Linked DNA regions of Sus scrofa. The protein of the gene in region 1 interacts with the protein of each later gene in a biochemical or structural test. Links are inferred from orthologs where the notes say so. Each region holds a gene or a part of one and is shown on either strand. Other genes may lie near its edges. The genes, in order: RAD51AP1 and DMC1.

What was found.
Region 2: the proteins of RAD51AP1 (region 1) and DMC1 form a complex in vitro, tested with the Homo sapiens proteins (2 studies listed by BioGRID and IntAct). The link is inferred for Sus scrofa from reciprocal best matches to the Homo sapiens genes RAD51AP1 and DMC1.

The regions. Positions count from the first base shown.
Region 1 is NC_010447.5:65,876,680-65,880,496, reverse strand, and holds part of RAD51AP1 (RAD51-associated protein 1), read left to right. Parts: intron 1-2,677; coding exon 2,678-2,827; intron 2,828-3,817. UniProt on the Homo sapiens protein: Structure-specific DNA-binding protein involved in DNA repair by promoting RAD51-mediated homologous recombination.
Region 2 is NC_010447.5:9,429,658-9,434,128, reverse strand, and holds the start of DMC1 (meiotic recombination protein DMC1/LIM15 homolog), read right to left. Parts: upstream 2,894-4,471; 5' UTR 2,755-2,893; intron 1,072-2,754; 5' UTR 1,071-1,071; coding exon 1,020-1,070; intron 429-1,019; coding exon 384-428; intron 1-383. UniProt on the Homo sapiens protein: Participates in meiotic recombination, specifically in homologous strand assimilation, which is required for the resolution of meiotic double-strand breaks.

The DNA.
Region 1 (3,817 bases):
CGTTCATTGACCACTGAGCCACGAAGGGAACTCCTGATTAGTGAGGTTTTAATTGATTTTTTTAATTGGCAAATTCATCGTTTCCAGAAATAAGATTTTAAATGCCGGGTTTTTAGAGATAAAGCTGTGTATGAGTTCCCATTGCTGCTGTAAAAAGTTATTACAAACTCAGTGGCTTAAATCAACACAAATTTATTATTTCACAGTTCTGTAGGTCACAGATTCAAAATGCCTCTCACTGGGCTAAAATCAAGCATTGGCAGAACTGTGTTCCTTTGTGGAGGCTTGAGGGGAGAATCCCCTTTCTAGCCTTGAGGCTGCCTGCTTGCCTTGACTGGTGGCCCACTTCCCTCTTCAAAGCCATCACATCACTCTTGTTCTCTGCTTCTCACTTTCACTTACAAGGACCCGTGTGAGTACACTGGGCCCTTCGCACAATTCAGGTTACTTCCCCATCTCGAGTCTCCCCCCCGCCTTTTTTCTTTGTCTTTTTGCCATTTCTTGGGCCGCTCCCACGGCATATGGAGGTTCCCAGGCTAGGGGTCGAATCGGAGCTGCAGCCGTCAGCCTACGCCACAGCCACAGCAACTCAGGATCCGAGCCTCGTCTGCACCCTACACCACAGCTCACTGCAACACCGGATCCCCAATCCACTGAGCAAGGCCAGGGATCGAACCTACAACCTCATGGTTCCTAGTCGGATATGTCAACCACTGAGCCACGACGGGAACTCCTCGAGTCTCTTAATGTAATCCCACTTAAGTCCCTTTGCTGTATAAGATAACATGTGCACACGTTCTGGGGAGTTAGGAGATAAATATCTTTAAGGAGCCGCCTATATAGACTGATAGGAGAAGGTCATTGACGATATGAAAAAACCTAACATGAATATATTTTATGTTTTCTTTAGATTTTTGTTTATGCCTTCTCACCAAGACACTCTAAAAGCTAAAAATAAATTCGCTTTCCAAGTTGCCATTTACCACTTAAATATTTCTTTATCCTGGAGCAAGTTGCTTCACAAGAAAGTTTACCATGTGATATTAGAAGTAAAATTTAACAGCCAAATAATGAAATTAAGAATTCGGAAAGATGGATTATATTTCTAGTCCCAGTAATAACATATTGAGTAACCTTTGAGTGTCTTCAATCTGGTACATGTTATAATTTTTTCCTTGATAGAGGAAATTTCAAGAGCTGTGGTGTCCATTATGGTGGCCACCAGCCACAAGTAACTTTATCACATTTAAGTTAATTAAAAATAAAATTTAAAAGCCAGTTCCTTGGTTTTACTAGCCACGTTTCAGGTGCTCACTAACTATATGTGGCAGGTGGCCTCCACATTGGACAGCACGAAATACAGAGTCTTCCCATCATTGCAGAAAAGCCTGTTGGACGGATGGTGCTGATCAGGGGGTGTAGTTACTAACATTAAGACGGGTATACAGGAGTTCCAGTCGTGGCGCAGTGGTTAACAAATCCGACTAGGAACCATGAGGTTGCGTGTTCGATCCCTGGCATTGCTCAGTGGGTTAAGGATCCGGCATTGCCGTGAGCTGTGGTGTTGGTTGCAGACGAGGCTCAGATCTCAAGTTGCTGTGGCTGTGGCGTAGGCCGGCGGCTACAGCTCCAATTAGACCCCTAGCCTGGTAACCTCCAAATGCCGCAGGAGCAGCCCTAGAAAAGACAAAAAGACAAAAAAAAAAAAGACGGGTATGCAGTGAAAATTCACATGCCTATGGATAATGCCCTTAGGTATAATAGGCCTTCAGGTAAATAAGATGCTCCTTAGGTATCTCAAAGCAAGCATTAACTAAAAGTGATTTTTTTTCCTACCTCCCTACCTCCCTCCATCAAAAACAAGCAAAAAACCAGAAAACTCAAACCTACTCCCATTCTGTGTTCATTCTCTGGGTAGATGGCGCCATCAAGCAGTGTTCCAGCGGCAGGAACTTGCAAGTCCTGGTTATTTCCTCCCCTCCAGCACTGCCCTCCCCTCTGATTACTAAGAGATGTCCAATCTGCTGGTTTTCCTTCCTCTTAGCGCAGGCCCTTTCCTCTTCTCACCGGGATAGCCATAAAGCCATCCAGGTGGTGTGCTTTACCCCACCATCGGCAAGATGCTTCTACGCATACAGCTCCTGAGCCCACGTCTAAAGTCTCATCTCTCTTACCACATTGCACTGTACACTTCACTTCTGTGCCCTTTCTACTACTAGAGTCTAGTGACTGGACCATGAGTTCCTTGGGAGCAGGATACTCTAACCTAGAGTGAGACACTATTGTGTAACAGTTACAAGTGTGGACTCAGAGTCAGACCTGGTTTCCAGTCCCGGCTTGGACACTTCCTAGCTATTAACTACAGGCAGATTATTTAACCTCTGTGTTTCCTTAACTGACAGTAGAGATGGTAATTTCTGTATCGTGGTTGCTCTAAGGTTAAAGGTAATGTTTATGATGTGCTTAGCATACTTCCTAGCATAGAAGTGCTCATAAAAAAGGGCTGTTCTTAGGTTCTCAATAAATGTTTGATGATTAATGATAATTATAATTGATTTTTCACATTTATGATACTTTTTTGTTTGTATAAGATTCTGTCATTTTATAATTTTCACACAACATCCTAAACTTTATCTTTCCTCTCTAACACTTTTTCTATGTGTATTTTTCAAATAAGTGACTTCAGTACACTCTGCTCCATCTGCCGTCAAGTCAGAATCTCAGCCCTTGCCAAAAAAGGTTTCTGTTTCTTCAGAGGCCACTGAGAAGCCATTACAAATATGCAGTCCTTCGGCTGAAAGCAGGAGACCTAAGTGGGTCCCACCAGGTACGGTGTATTTATTGATTGCTCAAGGGCAGGGGCTTCAAAAACTGGTAGGATTTTTTTTCCTAGTTGTAAATGTCACATATGAGCATTTCCTCATATTATTATGTAGTCTTCAAACCAAGGTTCTTAGTTGCTGTATTCATTCATCACTTATTATTCCCTCATATTTGAACATCCAGGTTATTTTTTCGTTGTTATAAATAAAGTTACAGTAAGCACAAACATCCTTATTTTTATTTTATTTATTTATTTTTGTTGTCTTTTTAGTGCTGTACCCACAGCATATGGAGGTTCCCAGGCTAGGGGTCTAATCGCAGCCACAGCTACCAGCCTACACCAGAGCCACAGCAACGCTGGATCTGAGCTGCATCTGCAACCTACACCACAGATCATGGCAATGCTGGATCCTTAACCCACTGGGCGAGGCCAGGGATCAAACTCGCAACCTCATGGTTCCTAGTTGGATTTGTTTCCGTTTCGCCATGACAGGAACTCCAACGTCCTTATTTTAGACCTCTGTGGGCACATCCCTTATTTTCCTACGATAAATTCCTAGAAGTAGAATTATAGTGAATGAGTACCAGTGTTTACGGCTCCTGTTATAGGAGTTCCCATTGTAGCTCAGCAGGTTAAGGACCCAACATTGTCTCTGTGAGGGTGTCAGTTAAGGATCCGGAATTGCTGCAAGCTGTGGTGAAGGTCACAGATGCAGCTCCATGGATCCCACGTTGCCATGGCTGTGGTGTAGGCCTCAGCTGCAGCTCTGATTCAACCCCAGGAATTTCCATACGCCATAGGTGTGGCCCTAAAAAGAAGAGGATGAGTCCTGTTATATATTTTTGTCAAGAAATCTCTTTGCCCAAGACCCACTGACTTCCAAAGTCTGACAGAATCCTTGGGAATCCCTGCATGTGGCAAACTTGACCTTCAGCTCTTACACATTTGGCTTCTCTCTGTTTTCTTTTGCTCCACAGCCAGGTCTCGCTAATC
Region 2 (4,471 bases), about 56 Mb from region 1:
TGTCAACTGATTGCTACTGAAATTCATCAAGTTTTTTACTTAAAGTCTGAATTTCTTTTATCTAATCACATGACAGAAGGTGAATTTTTTGTTGATGGAAACAGTTGATAGCTCTGAACACCTCCAAGTGGACCACTAGTTCTCAACGGGGGACAATTTTGTTCCCTGGGGACATGACAATGTTTGGAGAATTTTTGGGTTGTCACAACTATGAGGCTGCTACTAGCATATCATGAGTGGTTAGGAGCCAGAGTGCTAAACACCCTACAATGCACAAGGCAGCCCCCCCACAACAAAGAACTGTCAAGTCCCAAATGCCAATAGAGTCAAGGCTGAGAAACCCTAAAATGGACAATTTCACACAGCACTGAAGAAATACTTACAATCCCATGTTTTTGTAACAGGTCGATGTCTTGAAACAAAGATTCCTAACGAAGATGGAACAGGGAAAAAAAAAAAGTTTTTATTCTTCATATTCAACCGTTTCACAAATATTTTTAAGAGTTAATTCAGAATTATGAGTCACTCCAAGATGCTTCAAATTCCACTTCTCTAGACAGACTGAGGTAGGCTCAATAATGATTTTTCAAACACATTGTTGCATACATAGAAGTGCTAACACTGAAAGCACTGGGAAGCTCAATACTTTTATTATGCCCTCTCCAAATTTTTAAGACCTTAACCCAAAAGAGTGGAACAACATTTAATCTATTTTAAAATATGTTTTCTCAGTCTTCCCCACCAGACCTTGAACTCCTTCTACTCCTCACTACCAGTTTGCATAGGAACCAGTATGGCCATACCAATTGCTAAATTATTAAAATACTTTCACACCAGCTGCTAAGTAGCTAATCTTAGCACCCCTTGCCAAACAAGTTGTTACATATTTGTAATATTGCCTCTCTCCAGAACTATGTTTTATTGCTAATCTGTTTCTAAAAATAGTAGTTAACAGAGAAGGAACTTCATTTTTGTAGAATGACTAAATGTCTACATGTCTTTCAACATTCTAGCCATACTTCTTCATCTTGGAATCCTGGTTCTTCCAGCACAACTTGATCCTCCTTCATACTGAAAGGAGAACAGCAAAAAAATAATCAATTTTGGGAAAATAAAAAAATATTAAGAAGTAGTCATAGTACAAAACCCTTTGCCCATAGACTTTCTTGATTTCAATTCAGTTATTAAGGACCAGAAGGACAAATAGAAAAACATTTAGTTTGAAATGACTGGCTAGCCTATATCCTTTCTGCTAGGCATCTGGTATTATTTCTTTTAATGGGTGTGCATATGTGAGGGTGGAGGGACATTGTTTCTCTCCTCTTTCCTCAAAATTGGCCACTTTGTATCATCTTTTGATTTCCCACAGCACAATTATAACTGATAATATCTCTTTGTTGTCTTGGAATGTTATTGGCAGTAGAAATATTAGAATTAGAATATTAGAACTCCGTATTTTTATTCTTTCATGTTCATGTTAACAACACTCTAAGAACTTTAGCCTGGATCTCCTGTTGTGGCTCGGTGGGTGAAAAAACCAACTAGTAGCCATAAGGATTTGGGTTCGATCCCCGGCCTTGCCCAGTGGGTTAAAGATCCAATGTTGCTACGAGGTAGGTCTCAGACATGGCTAGGATCTGGCATTGCTGTGGTTGTGGCATAGGCTGGCAGCTGTAGCTCCAATTTGACCTTTAGCCTGGGCACTTATCTATGCCACAGGTTTGGCCCTAAAAAGAAAACAAACAAACAAACAAAAAAAAAACCTTTGGCCTTAAGTCAGTCTTCCTATATCTTCCCCGGCACCTAGAACTTAGTCTCTCTTCAACAGATAGATATTTTTTCATCTCTTCCTGCTTGAGAATTATGAATGAGCTCTCTTGCAACATGTGTATTTTTCTTTCATAAAACAATGGATGTATTTTGTTCTATAGTATTTACTACTTTCATGATTTTTGTAAAGATTTAAATTATGGTGAATACTCAGTATCATAATATGATAAAATATTAGGGCCAATAAGCAGATGAACAATCTTTGAGTTAACACTGGAGCAGCGGTTTTAAGATCTCAGGAATCTAAAAAGCATGATCCTGTTTATTAGAAAACGTAGTCCAAGTAATCACTTTTCTTGGTCTATTCCATTTTCTCACAAAACGCGGAAGTCAGGGGTTGGGGCCCAGCAGAAGGGGAACAAATTACTAAGGTTGAGGTATGGTCGTTACCACCTAGTACCTCTGAACAGCAAAGTATTCGAGGCAAAAGAGGAGACGGTGTAAATGGAATTTTCTGGAATACGGCCCCTCACTCAGATTGCTTATATATATGTATATATATGATTGCCCCCAAATTCCACATTGACTGTCCTTTCTTTAGCCTTGAAAAAAGCTGCTCTTCATCTTTCTCAAATAGCAATGGACGTTGAGAGCAGTTGGATCTAGAGTAGGGCTCCCAGTCGCCTCGGCTTCGGGCGTGGAAGCGCGGTCCAGGTCGCCTCCCCTGCCGCCACCCGTTTTTCCAACACCTAACTCCCTCATAAGGAGTCTGAGGAGGCCCCTCCCCAACTTAGGTCCTACTTGGTTTAAAATAAGGATGCTGGTAATCACTCAAGGGCACTGAGATATACCCCCAGGGGTGGGGGCGGGACGCACAAAGTGGAGCCTCCAACCACCACCAAGCATGACTAAAGAAGGGACCCCCTGAGTTTCCCCTCAGATTCTTCACCCACCTTCCCCTTTTGCCACAAACCCGACTCGTACCCACAATCTCCCTTTTCAAGGTGAATGAATCCCTTCCGCCCCCGTCCCGGGCCTTCCAGTCCTCAGGGATTCTGACTCCGAAGCAGAACGCGGCGCCTCGCAGCCCCGTTGACCAAGAGGTTCGGTGCCCAACGACTAGTTTGGGCGCGCGCCTGGCGTGGGCGGGGCCAGGACGGAGGGGCGGGGATCTGGGCGGGGCAGAGGACGGGGGGCGGGGCGGCAGGAGCGTCCGGGGGAGGCGAAGGTACTGGGAGCGGCGAACGGACTCTCCGGGGCGTGTCGCGCGCTGGGATGAGGAAGGGGGCGCTGAGGGGGAGAGTGTGTGCTGAGGAGAGGGGCTTTGGTGGGAAGGGAGGCTGGGGCGTCTCCAGAGCGGAGGGAGATGCTGAGGTCAAGAGAGGACTCTGAGGTGGGGGCACCCAGGACATGGGTCAAAATTGGGGGCTCCTGAGGTGGACGCTGAGGTGAAGACAGGATCCTCTGAGAAAGGAGGCCCTTGGGTGGCGCGTGTTCTGAGATGAAGAGAGGCCGCTGGAAAGGGGGCAAGAGGTGGACGACCGTGAGGCGGGGGAGGGGTGCTGAGGGGAGGTGGCTGATGTGGTGACTCATGACGTGCAGAATGCTTACCTTAATCCAGATCCTCCGTTAGGAGCCGAATATGGGGGTCTTTTCCCCCTGCTTAAGGCTTTTCTTTTCATTCCAAGTTTTTCATGTCTGCCTTCATAGTTTGTTCCTAATATCTCAGCGTTCCTAATTTCTCTCCCTTCTCCGTGACTCTCTTACCGTTTGCCATTCTCTAGTCTGTGAGTGAGACACCCAAAGCCCATTCAGGACGGAGAGTAATTTTTCTTCCTTTTAACTTGAAATTTTAAATAGACAACAGAAGCCAAACATATTTTGGTCCAGCTTTTAAATAGAAATTTTAGGCCAGCCTTCATGCCAGCAGAGCCGTCTCTGGCAGCATCAACCCTCCTCCCCTTAAATGGAGACTGACTGTTGAAGAGAGTCATGAAACATTTGAAAGAGCATCTGTTGAGGTGGAGGCTGTGATGTATCTTGGATGACTATCTGTGCAAACAGTTCTTTGGGTTCAAGACCTAGTACAGGGTGACCCTTTTCATTCAGTGTCTGAATCATATTTTGCTGGAATAAATAGCCAAAAATTCCCACAATAGCAGTTGGCATTTTGTAGGACATTTCCTCTGCCCCCCACGTGGATTGTTTAAAGACCCAACAAATAACTGCCATAGTTCTTCAAAATCTGTTATTTTCCAGAAACACAGCCTGGTCTTGCTTAAATAGAAATTAATGTCAATTTTTGAGATGAACTGTATAGTCGATGGTAGGCTTTCACTTTGGGCCTCACCTAAAATAATTATAGTAACTTCTGAGCAACTTGTTAGATGGAGACATCAACTGTACGGAAGAGCTGCAAAGAGCACAACAAGATGATTTAGGGAAATATAACATATGTAGTTTGGTGTAGTGACAGCTGGGAGAGAGAAATGTTCATAATATTTGAAGGTTGTGTGCAGTACACTTAAAGAAACTGAAATGAGCTTGGTAATGACAAACTCATGAAGTAAGGATAAAAATCTTGTTTGGAGATGGTATTGATAGTTATATACAACTTAAAAATATTTTAAAACAAACCCCCAAACTCCAGAGTAGTTAAAAATAAGTACACTTGAAGACCTTTTCACTCAAACCGGGACCA